Macaca mulatta: one gene and its partners. The protein of the gene in region 1 binds, or shares a complex with, the protein of each later gene. Links are inferred from orthologs where the notes say so. Each region holds a gene or a part of one and is shown in the gene's direction. Other genes may lie near its edges. The genes, in order: KANSL1, PHF20, KANSL2, KANSL3 and OGT.

Region 1 (2,538 bases):
GGCCGCACTTAAATTGACCTCCTCAACATTCAGTGGAACTATATTTATCTTTGCTAAATGGTCAGTACGGTTGTCTGGGTACACCCTAGGAGGGGTGTTCCTGGACTGTCCCAGGAACGCTAGATAGACTGGTCCTAGTCTCCGGCCACAAGGTTTGTGGCAGGGCCTTGGAGCAGGAAGCAGGCTGGCTGGGTCTGGGTCCTCACAGAGCAACTTGTCTGCCTACAGTCTGTCCAGCCCTGGGAGCGGCGGACCTTCCCCCTGGCGCACAGTCCCCAGGCGGAGTGTGAGGACCAGCTGGATGCACAGGAGCGAGCAGCCCGCTGCACTCGACGCACCTCAGGCAGCAAGACTGGCCGGGAGACAGAGGCGGCACCCACCTCGCCTCCCACTGTCCCCCTCAAGAGTCGGCATCTGGTGGCAGCAGCCACAGCTCAGCGCCCAACTCACAGATGAGCGGGAGACAAGAATCTAAACAGACTCACTAACTATTGGCATTAAAGCTTCAGAAATCTCTGCGTTTGATATTCAAACATCATATGCCGGAAATTTTCACAGTTTTTAGTGAACTTAAGGAATTTAGATCCTACTTTGGTATTTTTTTCTCTCGTTTTAATTTTTGTTTTTTGTTTCCATGTTTTCTTGTCACACACCTGAGCACTTCCTCCCGTTGGCAAACAGAAGTTCAGGATGAGACCCTGCTGGCCTGGTCCTGGCACATCCTCTGCACTGTTGAATCACTGGACTTACCAATCTTAGATGACCACACCCCCTCCCTCACACCTGTGGGCAGGGCAGAACAGCCTGGCGGGCAGAGGGCTCCAGTTGAGCATGGCCTTCTCGGGCTAGGGTGGAATGGGGCAGGGTGCTCTGGGCTCTTACCCCTTCCCCTCCCATCTGTGGCTGGGCTCAGCTGTGGCCCTCCTGGCTGGGTCCCCCCTTGGTTTTTCGTGCTGGAACATCCCCACCAGAGCCTCTCTGCCGTAACTGCCAGCTGCTCTCACCAAGTGCTCAGCCGGCAGAACAGCTTTCCCTTCTCACCCAGAACTTAGAGACCTATTTTTTGTTTCATCTGCATTTGGTCTTCTCTGTTTTGACTCTTTAACTGCAGTAACCTGGCTGTGGCTGCTCAGGTTCCCTTCATCATGCCCCTTGGTACCCTTCCCTGTCCGTTCTCCAATGCCACATACACACCCACAACCCGTCCTTCCACTCGGAATGTTTTTTTTACCACCTATCCTGATCTCTGAAGGTAGGGTTAGGACTACTTAACCTCTGTTCCCACTCCCCTGCAAACGGGGTTGTGGGAAGTGAGCAGCCATCTCCCTGTGTGATTTTTTTTTTTTTCTCTGATTCGCTTTGCCATGTTTCCTTCACATCCAGATCCCTGTCGGTGTTAGTTCCACTCTTGGTCTTTCACGCTCCCCTTGCCTGTGGAACATTGTCTGGTCCTAGCTGTGGTTCCCATTGTTCCCCCTTCACCCTTCTCTGTTAACCTTGTGCCTGTCTCCTGTATGATCACATCACCAAAAAGGGGGAGGGGGGAGAAGACTTTTTTTTTGGCCATTTTGTAATCGTATAAAAATAGTAGACAACTGCTTAATGGTTGGGGTTTTTTCACAATTTTCAACATTAGTGATTTTTTTTTTCTGTTTGCAAGTTAAAGGGTTTGTCATTGTTTCTTTAAAGAAAAAATACAATAATGCACCATATCCCTATGCATAAAGTGCTTCTTCTATTTATAAGGTTGAAAATTCTGAATAACCCTTTTAGCATTGAAAAAAAAAAAACAAAAACAAAAAATGAAAAAAAAAAAAAACTTGTATTTTGTAAATATTTTCTTTTCCTGCTTTGGAGCTGTGTAATGGCAGCGAAACATGTAGCTGTCTTTGTTCTATAGAAATGCTTTTCTTCAGAGAAGCTGATCTTTGTTAATGTCTTGATTCTGTTCGCAAAGCACAGACTAGTGCTTAAAAAAAAAAGAAGGAAAAATTGAAAAAAATAAAAAAAAAAAAGTTACAGAATGCTGTGTACCAGGCCTTTCTTGACTTACTGAACTGTGTATGTATGGTAGTGTTGGCAGCTTCGGAGCTGGCTGGCTGGTGCCATTCTTTGAGGTACTCTAACTTGCTCTATACCTTGGGAAATCTCCATTCTGTCTTGTGGGAATGCCGCAGGTTCATCTGATGGCCACCAGAGAGACAATGGTGGTGGCTTTTCACTGAGGGTAAGGGCTGCCAGGAGGTGAGGGGATCTGTATTGATCGTCTCCTTTTTCTTTTTGTTGAGTGAAAGCAGTTGATCCACTTTCTCTCTAGTGAAGTCAGCTGTATGATATTTTCTCTCCGTTCTACATTGCTCTTTAAAGGAGATTTTGCTTCTCACCGTTAAATTTTTCTGAGGTTTGGTGGGGGTCAGTGAGATAGATAATTTGCATAGAGCCTGAGTTGGTTCTTGCCTGCTGCCTGAGATTATAGCATCTTTCTTCTGAGGAGGTTACATGCTTTTCTTTTTTTATTTTTTGAGATGGGATCTTGCT
Region 2 (3,520 bases), on another chromosome or scaffold:
GACTTTGTCTCTCTCTCTCTTTGATTTTCCTTTTGCCTCTGTCTCTTCCTCTTTCTCTCTGCTTCTGTCGTTCTCTCTCTCTCTCTCTCGTTGACTCCCTGTCTGTATCTTCCTCTCCGTCTCTTCCTCTCTCTCTCTTTGCCTCTGCCAGCCGCTTATGCTGCTGTTCTCTGAACCACCGTGTGTTGGGGGCGGGTGATCTAAAACAAGCTGGTCTGGGTTTCCTGGCTTACAGGTTACCTTGTGCCATACCTTTGAAACAAGGGACCTGTCCACGCTTCCTTCTAATGGCCAACCTACCTCTAATGCTGGCCAGTCTTATCTTACACAAAGTTTTAAATTTTCCTGGTGTCATAGTAGTCCATAGTCTCCCTTAAATCCTTTTTTTGAAAATTTTCAACATAGTTCCTAGTGGGGTGGGCTTACTTTGTGCCTCTCCCATGTTTCCTCTAGACAAAACATCACGCCCACCACAAAACAAATGGGTAAAAAGGGGACACACACACTTTTGTAGTTTACACCAAACCAAAATCAAAACCAAAATCAGAGTATCCAGAAATCCAAGCCAGATCAAAACCAAAACCAAAATATCAAGCAATCCAAGTCAAGTCAAAAACAAAAACCAAAGTGCCGGTACAGGCACACCGTGGGTGGTCAGGCCACGCTTCCACGCAAATGGAGTAGGCAAGTTCCCAAGACCAATCCTGTCAAGCAATTCAAACCAAGTCAAAACCAAAACCAAAGTGCCGATAAAGGCACGCCGTGGGTGATCAGGCCACGCTTCCACTCAAATGGAGTGGGCAAGTTCCTAAGACCAATCCTATCAAGCAATTCAAACCAAGTCAAAACCAAAACCAAAGTACCAATAAAGGCACGACATGGGTGATCAGGGCACGCTTCCACTCAAATGGAGCGGGCAAGTTTCAAAGACTAGTCTTACCAAGTTTTAGATGTCCAGGCTCCAAGCGCCCATTCCTTCCTGGTGTTCAGCCACTGCATTGATCCTCCACGGGGGCCTGCCACACACTGCTCTGGCGAGGCGTCCCACCGGGGCAAATGCCTACCCGGGAGCGCTCTCAGGATCGGCTCAGGATGGGCGTCGCTCAGGCTGGTCGGAGTTCCCCGCAGGGATACGCAGGGATATTCCACAGGGCAGGCTTAAGCCGCCTAAAGAGCTGCTTTGACCATCCACCGTTCACCTCGCTTCCCAGTCAGGGAACCAAGAAATGTAGCAGGACGGGCGGCAGACAAAACTCCCCAGACACCGAGTTAAAGAAGGAAGGGGTTTATTCGGCCGGGGGCATCGGCAAGACTCCTGTCTCAAGAGCCGAGCTCCCTGAGTGAGCAATTCCTGTCCCTTTTAAGGGCTCACAACTCTAAGGGGGTGCCTGTGAGAGGGTCGTGATTGATTGGGCAAGCAGTGGGTATGTGACTGGAGGCTGCATGCACCGGTAATTAGATCGGAACAAAACAGGATAGGGATTTTCACAGTGCATTTCTCTACAATGTCTGTAGCCTATAGATAACAGAACCAATTAGGTTGGGGTCGATCTTTAACTACCAGGCCCAGGGTGCAGCACCAGGCTGTCTGCCTGTGGATTTCATTTCTGCCTTTTAGTTTTTACTTCTTCTTTCTTTGGAGGCAGAAATTGGGCATAAGACAATATGAGGGGTGGTCTCCTCCCTTAATTAATTAATTTATTTATTTATTTATTTTTGAGACGGAGTCTCAGTCTGCTGCCCAGGCTAGAGTGTAGTGGCATGATCTCAGCTCACCATAACCTCCACCTCCTGGGTTCAAGTGATTCTCCTGCCTCAGTCTCCTGAGTAACTGGGATTACAGGCGCGCGCTGCCATGCCTGGCTAATTTTTGTATTTTTAGTGGAGATGGGGTTTCACCACATTGGCCAAGATACTCTCGATCTCTTGACCTTGTGATCTGCCCGCCTTGACCTCCCAAAGTGCTGGGATTATAGGCACGTGCCACCGCGCCCGACTGGGAAAGCTTTTTAAAGAGTGAGTAGTAACACTCAGAAAGGTGCTTCCTTCCGAGACTCCTAGACTCTGGTAACAGTAGCCTCTGGCAATGTGTGGCTGTTTAACCAAAATTGAATAAAATTTAAAATTCAGTTCCTCAGTTGCACTAGCAATGTTTCCAGCGCTCAATAGCTGCATATGGCTAGTGGCTACTATATTGGATGACACAAACTCGCACCATTTCCATCATCGCAGGAAGTTCTTTTGGACTGTGTTGCTCTAAAGCATTTGAGTTTTGTCCTGGGAGTACCACTTTGCAGAGCAGGTGTTGACACAGTGTTGGCTGAAATGGCCCTTCCTCCCTTGCCCATGAATGGTCTAATGGAATAAGGTGCTGAAATGCTTGCTGATGTTCTTGCAAATCAAGTGTTGGGAGCTCACTGGGTCTCATTTCTCTCTTCTGCCGACAGTGTTGGAGAGCTGGCTGGACTACACTGGGGAACTGGAGCCCCCTGAGCCACTGGCCAGGCTTCCGCAGCTCAAGCATTGTATCAAGCAGCTGCTGACGGACCTGGGCAAGGTGCAGCAGATCGCCCTCTGCTGCTCAACATGAAACTGGGCACCCAAAACTCATGGGAGCACAATCCTGGGGCACCTGCAGGAGGAGCTTCGCATATTTAAATAAATAAACCTAGCATGCTGAATGCACGTGACACCAACTGACTTCAGGGATCTGGGCCAGGAGTGTGATGGACATTGGACAAAGAGGCCATTTTGGCTGTGGGAGGACACTCTGATCTCGAAGCCTACCATAAAGGTAGCAAATAGACTCGGGATTCCCTTCTTCTGTGCACATCATTGAATGAAGGGAGTCTTTTTGCACAAACTTCACTTGAAATCGTGCCACTGATGATAAATGGAATGAGAGCCAAAAAAGTTTAGTTGGAGACAGTTGTAAATTCAATTTGCAGTTTATTTAATTGACTTTTCTGTCAGGTTTGGGCACATGCCACCTCCCTGGTTTCTTCCTGGCATGGTGTTTGGGCAGCAGGCATCATTTTCCTTTTCTAGCTTCATGGGAATGTTGTGAGCTCACCACGCTGTGGAGGTTGGAAAGGAGCAGAGTCTTGGCTGCCCTGCTTTCTCCTTAGGACTCTTCACTTTTCTCACCACATCTCTTGCATGACTTCATGGTACTGGGGACAAGTTTGTATGCTTTCACCCCAGAGCTGGCTGTGTTATGGCTTTTGTAGCAGAGCCCATACAGCCTATGGAAGAACTAGAATCTCACAGTAATAAAAATCTAGGAGGAATTCCAAACTGAAGCAGGCAGGGTCTGGAACCCAAAGGACAGCATTTTCTACCCATTTCTTAATATTGACAGCTTCCCCGTTCTATTTAATGTCCAAAAATGTTTCCCAAAATTTCAAACTCTTTCACTGTAAAGATTTGTTACAAAGAATGTGGTTTGGGGAATTACCTTATTTTATATTGTTGTAAACAAACTTCAAATTATACATGTGCCGCTTTTCTCCTTCCTGAA
Region 3 (2,536 bases), on another chromosome or scaffold:
CTGATTTTTGCAGTTTTTGTAGAGACAGGATTTCACCATGTTGCCCAGGCTGGTCTTGAACTCCTGGGCTCAAGCGATCTGCCTACCTCGGCCTCCCAAAGTGCTGGGATTACAGGTGTGGTGGCCAGAATTGTGTTTTTTAATCCACTATATTGGTCTATGTTTTACACTTGGCAGCAAAAGCTCTCAGTGCTCTTGGATCTTGTTTCATTTGTTGGACGTTCTGGTAAAATTTTTTTTTGATCAAAGGTAGGCTAGGGTTGAGGGAGACAGCAGAGTATTGCTTTAAAGTTTGCTGAAAAACATACCACCTTTATTATTGTTTCCCTTGGTATTGCTGATGGGCTTTTCTCTCTTGTTTTCTAGGACTTGGATGTTGTGGGTGATGGTATGCAGTGTCCTCCTTCACCTTTGCTTTTTGATCCTTCACTAACCCTTGAAGATCATTTAGTCAAAGAAATTGCTGAAGACCCAGTGGATATTTTGGCAAGTGAAGAACAATCCCACCTGTTTCCCGCATGTAGAGACCTGGCCAGGCAGAGGGTTCCCTGCTGGATAGCATGTACTCCTGGAGGGGAGTGGGGTGTCATCACTAGTATAAAGACGCTCCACATGTCTCTCGCTCATTGAATACCATATAAGCAAAGCACTTTTAAAAATGCCCTACTTTGCTCCTGTATACCCTTGTTGCTGTAGTTCTCCAGATAGACTCTTAGAACACCTAATGGCCCCTGATCCTCATATCCCAGAGTAGGACATAAATTTATTTAAATAAAAGCTTGAGATAAGGAATCTAGGTAAACTGTACCTTCTGAGGGAGAGTTCAGCACTGAAATTGTTCTCATTATAGAATGACCAGTAAAGTAGTGTGATTTGAGTTCTGTCTGTGAACCTTGGGTAGAATTCCAGTGGCCCTGACTGAAAACCAGCAGTTGTACTGTAGCTGTTGGTTTCAAGCAGAGGCCTAAAGGACTGTCTTCCTATGGTCTGTTGGCTGTTCTGGGACCTCAGCAGGGAATGGCTGTTTCATTTGGAAGAAACAACCTACAGCTCTCCAACCCATTGGAAGAGGCTCAGGAGTAGGCTCTTCCAAGGGACAGGGATAGCTAATATAGGGAGGAGCATCTGTCCAGAATTAATTAATTTCTGTTGTATTTTTCTTATTGCTAGTATAAATGGCCACTGATAAGTCAGATTCATACTTCAGACCACAGTGAATGAATTTCTAACTGAAGTGCCTTTATTTCTTTTAACAGGGCCAGATGCAGATGGCTGGAGATGGGTGCAGATCCCAGGGATCTCGAAATTCTGAGAAAGCCTCTGCACCATTGTCTCAGAGTGGATTGGCTACTGCAAATGGGAAGCCAGAACCCACTTCTATTAGTTGATAGTTTGGGGAACCATTTTACTTTGGTGGATTTAAATTTCTCATTCTTCAAAGAAATATTTCTGATCATCTCTCACAAAACACAGGCAACCCAGACTATCTTGTTTTTCTTCTGGATTGAGTATTATAGTCAAAAGTAAAGCCAAATTTTGAGGACATGGACCAATACTTCTTAAGAGTTGTGGGTTTCTTCCCACTCAGGGCAAGGAAGAGAGATAATCCCTATCAAAGCTTCTGGGATTATTTGGTACTATACCTAAAAGGAAAGTGACATCTTTGTAATGGGATTTCCAAAGTCATGGATAGAAATCCACTTAAGTAGCTAGGTGGGAGCTGTCTTTGTGAGTAGTGTCTTTTAGATACTGATGGCCCTAATATCTGGTTATCTCTATCTAAAGACCTGCAGTTTAACTTTTCTTCACCTCTACTTAATTGGGCAATCTTTAACCTGTTTCCGTGGTGAACTCTGGCTTTTATCCTCTGAGAAAACAGCCCACAGGACTGGGTCCTCCTTATCCATCTTGCTTTTAACCTATGTAAATTTCTGTGGTTGCTATCTTATGTAAAATATAGTACAAATTTATTGTATATAGTTTCTATTAAATGTTAAAGAAAATGTTATGAAAATATCAAACAGTCACCTGAATTGAATGCATGTTTTGTTTGAGAATATAGTCTCTCTTTCGCGGTTTTAGGGACCTGTCTCTGATGGGAAAGGGAAGTTGGGGCAGATAATACTTCCATCCCAGGAAAAAATAAATCTTCAGTAGCTCATTTTGGTTTTGCTTTTAAGGAAGAAGTAAATGAAAAGGGGCAGGACTTATTAAAGCCAATCAGTTCCAAATATCTTCTTTCTACCCTTCCACTCTGTGTCCCCTACTCCCACTCCCATTTCTCACGATTAATGCCAATGTCATCTCTGCTAGGTGTGGTGGCTTACACCTGTAATCCCAGCACTTTGGGAGGCTGAGATAGGTGGATCACTTGAGCTCAGTACTTCCAGACCAGTCTGGGCAACATGGTGAGACCCTGTGTCTATATTTTCAAATTTTAAATAATTATTTAAAAAAACAATAATGCTCATGCCATCTCAAAATTCTCTAATGGTAGGAATATACTTAAAACATAAGAGAAATTGGGCCTGATGCT
Region 4 (3,520 bases), on another chromosome or scaffold:
AACTGAGAAAGTCTAATGGTTATAATTCTCTAATTTCTCATATAGAAATCCATTTAGTGTCTCTGTTTTTAAATTAAGAGCAACTTATCTTCTGCTATTTTTGGAGTTTTACAACTTGCATCAAAACCGTAGTACTTTTTATTCTCCAATTTTTCAAAACCTTTTTGTTTTTCTGAAAACTGCCTCTAATATTTAAACATTTTTCCTTTCCCCTAGGTCATTTTGACCTTTTGTGGGTAGCATGGAATTCGCAGATATTTCTTCTCAGATATTTCTTCTCAGTGTAAGCATCAACATGTCTGAAACTTATATTTGCACATCTGTAATGTTACATTTCTGGTAGATGGTAAAAAACAGACATGAGATAAAGTACACTGTACATAGCATAGCAGGATATATATTTTTGTACATAATAACAGGTTTATTTAGTACACCACAGCTTGAAAGCAGTACTCTAGAAGAAAATGGAGATTAAACAAAATTATAAAATCAACTGACACTCATTGAGGAAATTTAGGGAACATAGAAATCTGTAAAGGAAAAAGTCACCCATAAACTCTCTAGAGATCATTATTAACATTTTGGCTTCTTTTTTTTTTTTTGAGACAGTCTCCCTCTGTTGCCCAGGCTGGAGTGCAGTGGCGCGCTCTTGGCTCACTGCAACCTCTGCCTCCTGGGTTTAAGTGATTCTTCTGTCTCAGCCTCCTGAGCAGCTGGTACTACAGGTGTGCAGCATATTTTCTTAGTCTTTTTTCTGAGTAGAGATAATTTTTTTCTTTTTTCTTTTTTTTTTTTTGAGATAGTGTCTCACTCTGCAGCCCAGGCCGGAGTGCAGTGTCATGACCTCAGCTCACCACAACCTCCACCTCCTGGGTTCAAGTGATTCTCGTACCTCAGCTTCCCGAGTAGCTGGGATTACTGGTGTGCCACCACGCCTGGCTAATTTTTGTATTTTTAGTGGAGACAGGGTTTCACAATATTGGCCAGGCTTATCTCGAACTCCTGACCTCAAGTGATCTGCCCACCTTGGCTCCTAAAAGTGCTGGGATTACAGGCATGAGCCACTGAGCCCAGCTTTGAGTAGAGATAATTTTTATATTTTCTATTTTACCTGTAACATTTTGGCAAAATTATTGCTATATGTTATTATGTATTCTTGTAAATATTTGAAAGCTGGGCTCAGTGGCTAACGCCTGTAATTCTAGCACTTTAGGAGGCTGAGGCGGGTGGATCATTTGAGGTCAGGAGTTCAAGACCAGCCTGACCAATAAGGTGAAACTCCATCTCTACTAGAAATACACAAAATTAACTGGGTATGGTGGTGCACGCCTGTAATCTCAGCTACTTGGGAGGCTGAGAAACAAGAAATTGCTTAAACCCAGGAGGCAGAGGTGGCAGTGAGCCAAGATCAGGCCACTGCACTCTAGCCTGGGTGACAGAGCGAGACTTTGTCTCAATAAATAAATAAATAAATTCTTGTAAATATTTGAAAATAATTGTTAATATCCAATTAGGTAGATAGTTGACTAAACTACTCCCTTACGTATACATACATATATTAAATTGTTTTTACTTTATTATTGTTCATAGTTGATTTGTCTCTGTGCATAACTCTCCTTATCCTTTTGTGTGTGTTTTTGTTTCTGATATGTTTTCTTTGGAAAGGTTCTCAGAAGTAGAAACATTTGGAAAAGGGATGGGAGTACATTTAAGTCCCTTGCCACATATCCAGACTGCTTTCCAAAGGATTGTACCCATTCACTTTTCATGGTGGGAGCATACTTTTCGCCCGTTTATTTATATATACTGCTGCTCCTGAGGAGGTTTTTAGAGGCTTAGTTGAAGTCTGTCTGGCTTCTAGTGGGGCCCTGCTCTTCTGCTTGATTGCTGATGGTGGCAGGTCTCCTGCTTTACACTGGAATCAGCTTTGCTCTTCCTTCTTTGTAGATCCCAACCTTGATTGACCGGATGCTTGTGTCATCCAACACGAAGACTGGGGCTGCAGGAGCTGAGGCCTTGTCTCTCCTACTGAAGAGGCCCTGGGACCCTGCTGTGGGCGTGCTTTCTCATAACAAACCAGTAAGTTGGATGGCTCAGGACTTAACAATGGCACATACAAATTTTAGACTCAAGCCTTAGAACCTTGGCAGGAGGATAAATGGCTTCTTTAACTATTTTTTGTTGTTGTTATTATTATTATTATTATTATTATTTTTTTTTTTTTTTTTTGAGACGGAGTCTCGCTCTGTCGCCCAGGCTGGAGTGCAGTGGCCGGATCTCCGCTCACTGCAAGCTCCGCCTCCCGGGTTTACGCCATTCTCCCGCCTCAGCCTCTCGAGTAGCTGGGACTACAGGCGCCCGCCACCTCGCCCGGCTAGTTTTTTGTACTTCTTTTTAGTAGAGACGGGGTTTCACCGTGTTAGCCAGGATGGTCTCGATCTCCTGACCTCGTGATCTGCCCGTCTCGGCCTCCCAAAGTGCTGGGATTACAGGCGTGAGCCACCGCGCCCGGCCTGTTGTTATTATTTTTTGCGACAAAATCTTGCTCTATTGCCCAGGCTAGAGTGCAGTGGCATGATCTTGGCTTATTGCAACCTCTGCCTCCCAGGTTCAGGCAATTCTCCTGCATCAGCTTCCTGAGTAGCTGAGATTACAGGCATGCACCACCATGCCTGGCTAATTTTTGTGTTTTCAGTAATGACAGGATTTCACCACGTTGGCCAGGCTGGTCTCAAACTCCTAACCCCAGGTGATCCGCCTGCCTCGGCCTCCCAGAGTGCTGGGATTGCAGGTGTGAGCCGGTGCGACTGACTGGCTTCTTTAACTATTACTAGTAATTTATTTTGTATAGTGCTTAACATATTTCACAAGCAAAGGAGCATTGGTTGGGATGAGAAAGGTATTGGGATACTTGGAATTTCGTGGAAGAAAACTTCTCACTCACTGGTTTTTGGGTGGGATCCTTCCTCTTTAGAGCAAACTCCCTGGCTCTCCACTGATTCTCATCGCCTCCTCTGGTCCCTCCAGCTCTGTGTTTCCCACTTCACGCCGCCACCGCTTCTGGCAGTCTCAGCTCTCCTGCTTAGGCAAGGTATGTGTGGGGGCAGGAGGAACTCCCTCCTGGCAGGGAATATAGTCTTGGAGAATTGAGGAGAAGAATATGTGGGAGGGAGGTCAAAATGGATAACTTGAATGTGGAGCCTCCTCTAACCCTTCTTTCATGTGGAATTCCAAGGTTGAAAGGGTTTGGGGTAGGTCAAACAGAATTGAAAGATTTGAAACTTACCTCTGCTGTTGTGGGGGCTACTTCTTTCCTTCAGGTCATCCCTGTAGCCACCCATCTGCTGAACAATGGCAGTGGGGTAGGAGTTCTACAGTGTCTTGAGCATATGATTGGGGCAGTGAGAAGCAAAGTGCTGGAGGTGAGAACGCCCCTGTTTCAGTGCACTTGGCATACCCAGCATTCTGGGGTTGTTCTGCTCCCATCTTTGGCCTCCTGTCTTACTGTCTTCTTTCTCTT
Region 5 (4,253 bases), on another chromosome or scaffold:
TTATTTCCATAATTAATTGTTTGTTGACTGTTTTGAAGAAATTTAAGCAGAATTTGAGGATTTAGTTTATCAAACAATGTAGTGAAGGGGCTAGGTAGCAAAAACTTTTTTTTTCTTTTTTATTATACTTTAAGTTCTAGGGTACATGTGCACAACGTGCAGGTTTGTTACATATGTATACATGTGCCATGTTGGTGTGCTGCACCCATTAACTTGTCATTTACATTAGGTATATCTCCTAATGCTATCCCTCCCCCCTAGCAAAAACTTTTTGAAGAAATTCATTGACCTGCTTTCCTAGATCAAGGACTTTTTGAAATAAAAAGGCTCTCAGAGATCCAACTTGTAGCCTCCAGTGGCTTGTAATAATTTCTTGCTGATGTGGCAAGTTACCTTAAATCGTTTCTAGAACAAGACGTGAGGTATAAATGCCAATGTGACAAAATGTCTGAACAGTAGACTTGAAACTGCAGGAGGATCATAAGAACCCATTTGTTCAAGGAAGTGGAGGCAATTCATGACTAAATCTAGACGTGTGGTTTTAGGCAGATGGCAAGTGAATTCATTTATCATTGTTGATCTGCTTTGAGCTCAGTGGAATCGCCGATTGTGACAATCCGCAGAGCTAGTTGGTTGAAATGAAGTCACAACTCGGAGGAGAGTCATGAATTTTGACGAACATGAATCACCTTTAACATTTTTATGGCTGCCTTCGGAGTGCAAACCCCCGGCATGTCCCTGAGTTATTAAGCATTTGCCCTATCACTGTGGGCAGGAGTCTTCTGAATACCAAAACGATTTTGAAATTTCGGGCTATACGGTCAACATTGGAGGTGTCTCCATTCAACTGGCCCCGTGAAAGTTTCAGTCTTTTTCATCGAAGTGCCGAAATCGATGGCCGAGTCACAATGAAGACGGCTTCAATAGGAACCCTCTCGCTCCTAGTTTGGAGCAGCTGTCTTTGCGAGGCAATCTTCTGAATTGACTGGATCGGAATTGATCCGTGAGAGTCGTAACCATCCGTTTTTGTACGAATAAAGTTGACAAACTTTTTTAGACGCCTTTGGCGTTTATGTTTAAAACGACACCACCTGCTAAGTAACAAACAGACTCTTCTTTATCGCCGTGGCAAAAATGTATTCTCCCCGTGTGTGTGTTTGTTTGTTTTTACCCTTCCGCTACACTCTTAAGAAACTTAGCCGCTTCCGCCCGGGAGAGTGCCCTAACCGCGAGTCGGGTTGACAGGGCTGCTCGCATGCGCCGTCTCCACCGTGGTGTTTGTCGCAATGGGCGCTGCGCGGAGGGCTACATGGAATCTCGACTTTGCAGCTTGAAGTCATTTTGTTGGCGGCGCTGGTTACCGCGGCTACCTCCGCGCGGGCACTTGATTGTAACAGAAAGTAGTTCCGGCCCGTGTTGTTTCGGCCGAGGAGCCGTCGCCGCCATTTCAAGACCGTACTAGGTAGATGGCCAACTAGAGTTCCCAGGGTTCGAAGCCTGTAACTGCTGCCGCCGCTGAAGCCCTCCAGAGCATTGCTACGGCTGCTGCCCTTGTACTACTACCTCCAAATACGTTCTTGCCGGTAGTGGCGGCAGCAGGACCAGTTACCTTTTTTTTGCTCTCCCTCGAGAAGCTCCAGATGGCGTCTTCCGTGGGCAACGTGGCCGACAGCACAGGTACCGGTGTCCCGTTCTACCTTGGCAGATGCCCCCTTGGGGTCTCGCGCCGTCCTCTACCTTGTATCACTCCTTCCCTCCCTTACCTCGAACCATCCCCATTACATCAGTGACATTGCTGAGCTTCTCGTGGTAGATCGGGTTTTCCGCTGTCGTCCGCTTCCCGAACATTTCCTCCTCCTGCTTTGCTTGCTTTTTGCTCCCTTTCTTGCTTTGTTTTTATTTCGTAAATGTTGTAGCTTTCCACTCTCTCTGGGCGCTTCTATCACACGTGCGCGCTTAGAATGTCGTGGAATGGACTGCATTGGAATCCCTGCCCTTTCACTCCTTTGCAGCGGTTTTCTCCCCTAATTCCAGCTCTTCACCTCTCCTTTTTTCCCTCCGTCTCCCCCTCCAGCCTTTTCCCCTTAGCCAGATTTGGTCCTTCTCTGCCAATCTAGGGCGGGGGTGCCGTTCCGATGTAATCGTATCCTCACTTTGCATCACCCGAGGACGAGCAAAAGCTCGTCGATGGTGCCACAAGTCACCTCGAGAAGAGGGGACGTTGAGCAGCACCCCGCTAGGCAGTGCCTTTCTGGTGTTCTTTCGGTTGAGCGGTCCCGGTTTAGATTGGAAATTTCCAGGGGTTTCCTTTGCCATCGCTCAATTCCACCGCTGCCCTCAGCCTGGATTTCCCACCCTGTCCTCGGGGAACCACACCCTTCCCTTCGCGAGGTTGCCAGCCCTACTGTTCACTTCCTATCCTTGGGGGAGAAACCACCCCGACGCTGCTGCTTTGGCGTTGACCACCCTGCCCGCCCAATTCTCGCTTTGTGTTACTTTCTCGATGTATTCCTCCGCCGCCGCCTCTGGGTCTGCCATCCCCATTCTTTAGCCCAGCATCTCTTTATTCATAGGGTGTAATATTTTTTTAAGTTTCCATCCCTGCTTGAAGAGTTTGTAAAGCAACTGGAGTGTAGCTGCACAAGTACAAGGCGGTTGCCCTTTTAGACAATTCAGTCGCGAGCATTTGGTACTAAAAATACGAAAACAACCAAATTATAGGAGTGTCCTTCAGCTGCCTTTCCATATTGAGTCGATTTGGGCGGAAGGGGGTGGGGAATTGGGCTGCGCTTCTGAGGTTTCCCGCGAGGTTATTTTTTGGTTGTTTCTCAGTTGAGATGTGTGGAGGGTTTTAGTTCCTGTTTCTGGAAGTTGTGCTGTAAGTAGTAGGTGAATCGTCCATAGCATCTTATCCGTAATCGTAGGGAGTGGGATTAATAATTAGTCCGTGCCCCTCTCCCCACTTCTCCACCGTGATTTTCAAAGGTTTGAGATTCTGTACTAGCTTGCCCTTTTTAATGTGTTATTTTATTTGAGGAAGCTGTCGTTTCAAGTGTTAAAATAGATAAGCGGCATTGAAAAGTGACAAAGTAATGTGTGAAAACAAGGAGCTAGGAAGTTCTAGAAACTTAGCTAAAATGTAATTTTAGTTTCTATTAGAGAGATAACCTCTCCCAGATGTGGATGCCAGTCTCAGTGCTCTTTGTGTTGGTGGTCAGCTGTGCATTCTGTCAGGAAATTTACTTTGCTTTCCTCAGTATCCAGAGAACACTCATCAGCTCTAATGATTGGGGAGCTGGGCTCAAGTTTGAACTCGTCACCTTAACCTTGGTAGAATTAAAAAATTTGTCCATGGTTTCCCATTTCAACCAGCTAGTGAAGTGCTACGGTCGAATTCCCAGTTTAAGTATTTACAGTTGTGACAAGCAGTTTTTTTCCCCTCTTTGGGCTTTAGCTATATCCTTTAAAGATCTTGATGTATCTGGATTAAGTCAGTTGCAGCAAAGTGCTTTTATTTATTCGTTATGTTGCGCTTTATCAAATATCTTATATTTTAGCGTCCATCCCCCCTCCTCCCCAACGTTTTGACCATTGCAGTTGCAGATAACTGCCTGGTTTATATAGGCTTGTTTGCACTGTCTTAATCCTTTAGTCAATACCAGAGCTCTTTGGAAAATGTTAGTGCTAAACCAACGTGGGTGGGATTTAGCCAATTTAGTCTCCTTGTGAGTTTGGGATGGTAGAGGAGCAGTAAAATCTTGGGTCTTTATTTAAAATGTTTGATGACCCCTTTAACTATTTTGGCTGTTGACAAATGACAAACATCTTGTTTATCAGCTGTTTTAAAAATAGCACTTTGACTTTTTGGTTTTTCCCTTAGGCTCGTTTCTACTTGTCCTTTTAAAGAATTAAATTGTGAAATATACAAACACATTGATAGAATTTAAAGAGTTAACACATCTGGTGTCCTTACTGAGGTTAAGACTGGTAGATTGTTACCAGTACTCCACTTCCACAAATCCAACCTGAAATATGGTACAAAATATTAAGTTTTCCAATATGTTATTCTGGTATTATTAAGTCTTTGTGACCTTGCAAATCACACGTTTAATATTTTGTTTCTGTATGTAAACTAAGATATAAGGAATGATGTTCGGTGAATCCTTAGATGCTACCTATGATTTATAATTTAAAAGTACAAAGTATTTTTGGTCATAAAATGTAATCTCATTTGGAAGTAAATATTCCTTTCT

The links.
Region 2: KANSL1 (region 1) and PHF20 share a complex: the UniProt entries of both Homo sapiens proteins name them as parts of the NSL complex. The link is inferred for Macaca mulatta from reciprocal best matches to the Homo sapiens genes KANSL1 and PHF20.
Region 3: KANSL1 (region 1) and KANSL2 share a complex: the UniProt entries of both Homo sapiens proteins name them as parts of the NSL complex. The link is inferred for Macaca mulatta from reciprocal best matches to the Homo sapiens genes KANSL1 and KANSL2.
Region 4: KANSL1 (region 1) and KANSL3 share a complex: the UniProt entries of both Homo sapiens proteins name them as parts of the NSL complex. The link is inferred for Macaca mulatta from reciprocal best matches to the Homo sapiens genes KANSL1 and KANSL3.
Region 5: KANSL1 (region 1) and OGT share a complex: the UniProt entries of both Homo sapiens proteins name them as parts of the NSL complex. The link is inferred for Macaca mulatta from reciprocal best matches to the Homo sapiens genes KANSL1 and OGT.

The regions. Positions count from the first base shown.
Region 1 is NC_133421.1:70,930,593-70,933,130, reverse strand, and holds the end of KANSL1 (KAT8 regulatory NSL complex subunit 1), read left to right. Parts: intron 1-228; coding exon 229-456; 3' UTR 457-2,024; downstream 2,025-2,538. UniProt on the Homo sapiens protein: Non-catalytic component of the NSL histone acetyltransferase complex, a multiprotein complex that mediates histone H4 acetylation at 'Lys-5'- and 'Lys-8' (H4K5ac and H4K8ac) at transcription start sites and promotes transcription initiation.
Region 2 is NC_133415.1:88,781,155-88,784,674, forward strand, and holds part of PHF20 (PHD finger protein 20), read left to right. Parts: intron 1-2,447; coding exon 2,448-2,590; 3' UTR 2,591-3,520. UniProt on the Homo sapiens protein: Methyllysine-binding protein, component of the MOF histone acetyltransferase protein complex.
Region 3 is NC_133416.1:55,813,106-55,815,641, reverse strand, and holds the end of KANSL2 (KAT8 regulatory NSL complex subunit 2), read left to right. Parts: intron 1-366; coding exon 367-486; intron 487-908; exon of another isoform or gene 909-1,045; intron 1,046-1,256; coding exon 1,257-1,388; 3' UTR 1,389-2,021; downstream 2,022-2,536. UniProt on the Homo sapiens protein: Non-catalytic component of the NSL histone acetyltransferase complex, a multiprotein complex that mediates histone H4 acetylation at 'Lys-5'- and 'Lys-8' (H4K5ac and H4K8ac) at transcription start sites and promotes transcription initiation.
Region 4 is NC_133418.1:5,266,607-5,270,126, reverse strand, and holds part of KANSL3 (KAT8 regulatory NSL complex subunit 3), read left to right. Parts: intron 1-216; exon of another isoform or gene 217-241; coding exon of another isoform or gene 242-283; intron 284-1,947; coding exon 1,948-2,079; intron 2,080-2,974; coding exon 2,975-3,091; intron 3,092-3,320; coding exon 3,321-3,422; intron 3,423-3,520. UniProt on the Homo sapiens protein: Non-catalytic component of the NSL histone acetyltransferase complex, a multiprotein complex that mediates histone H4 acetylation at 'Lys-5'- and 'Lys-8' (H4K5ac and H4K8ac) at transcription start sites and promotes transcription initiation.
Region 5 is NC_133426.1:78,015,587-78,019,839, forward strand, and holds the start of OGT (UDP-N-acetylglucosamine--peptide N-acetylglucosaminyltransferase 110 kDa subunit), read left to right. Parts: upstream 1-1,444; 5' UTR 1,445-1,640; coding exon 1,641-1,677; intron 1,678-4,253. UniProt on the Homo sapiens protein: Catalyzes the transfer of a single N-acetylglucosamine from UDP-GlcNAc to a serine or threonine residue in cytoplasmic and nuclear proteins resulting in their modification with a beta-linked N-acetylglucosamine (O-GlcNAc).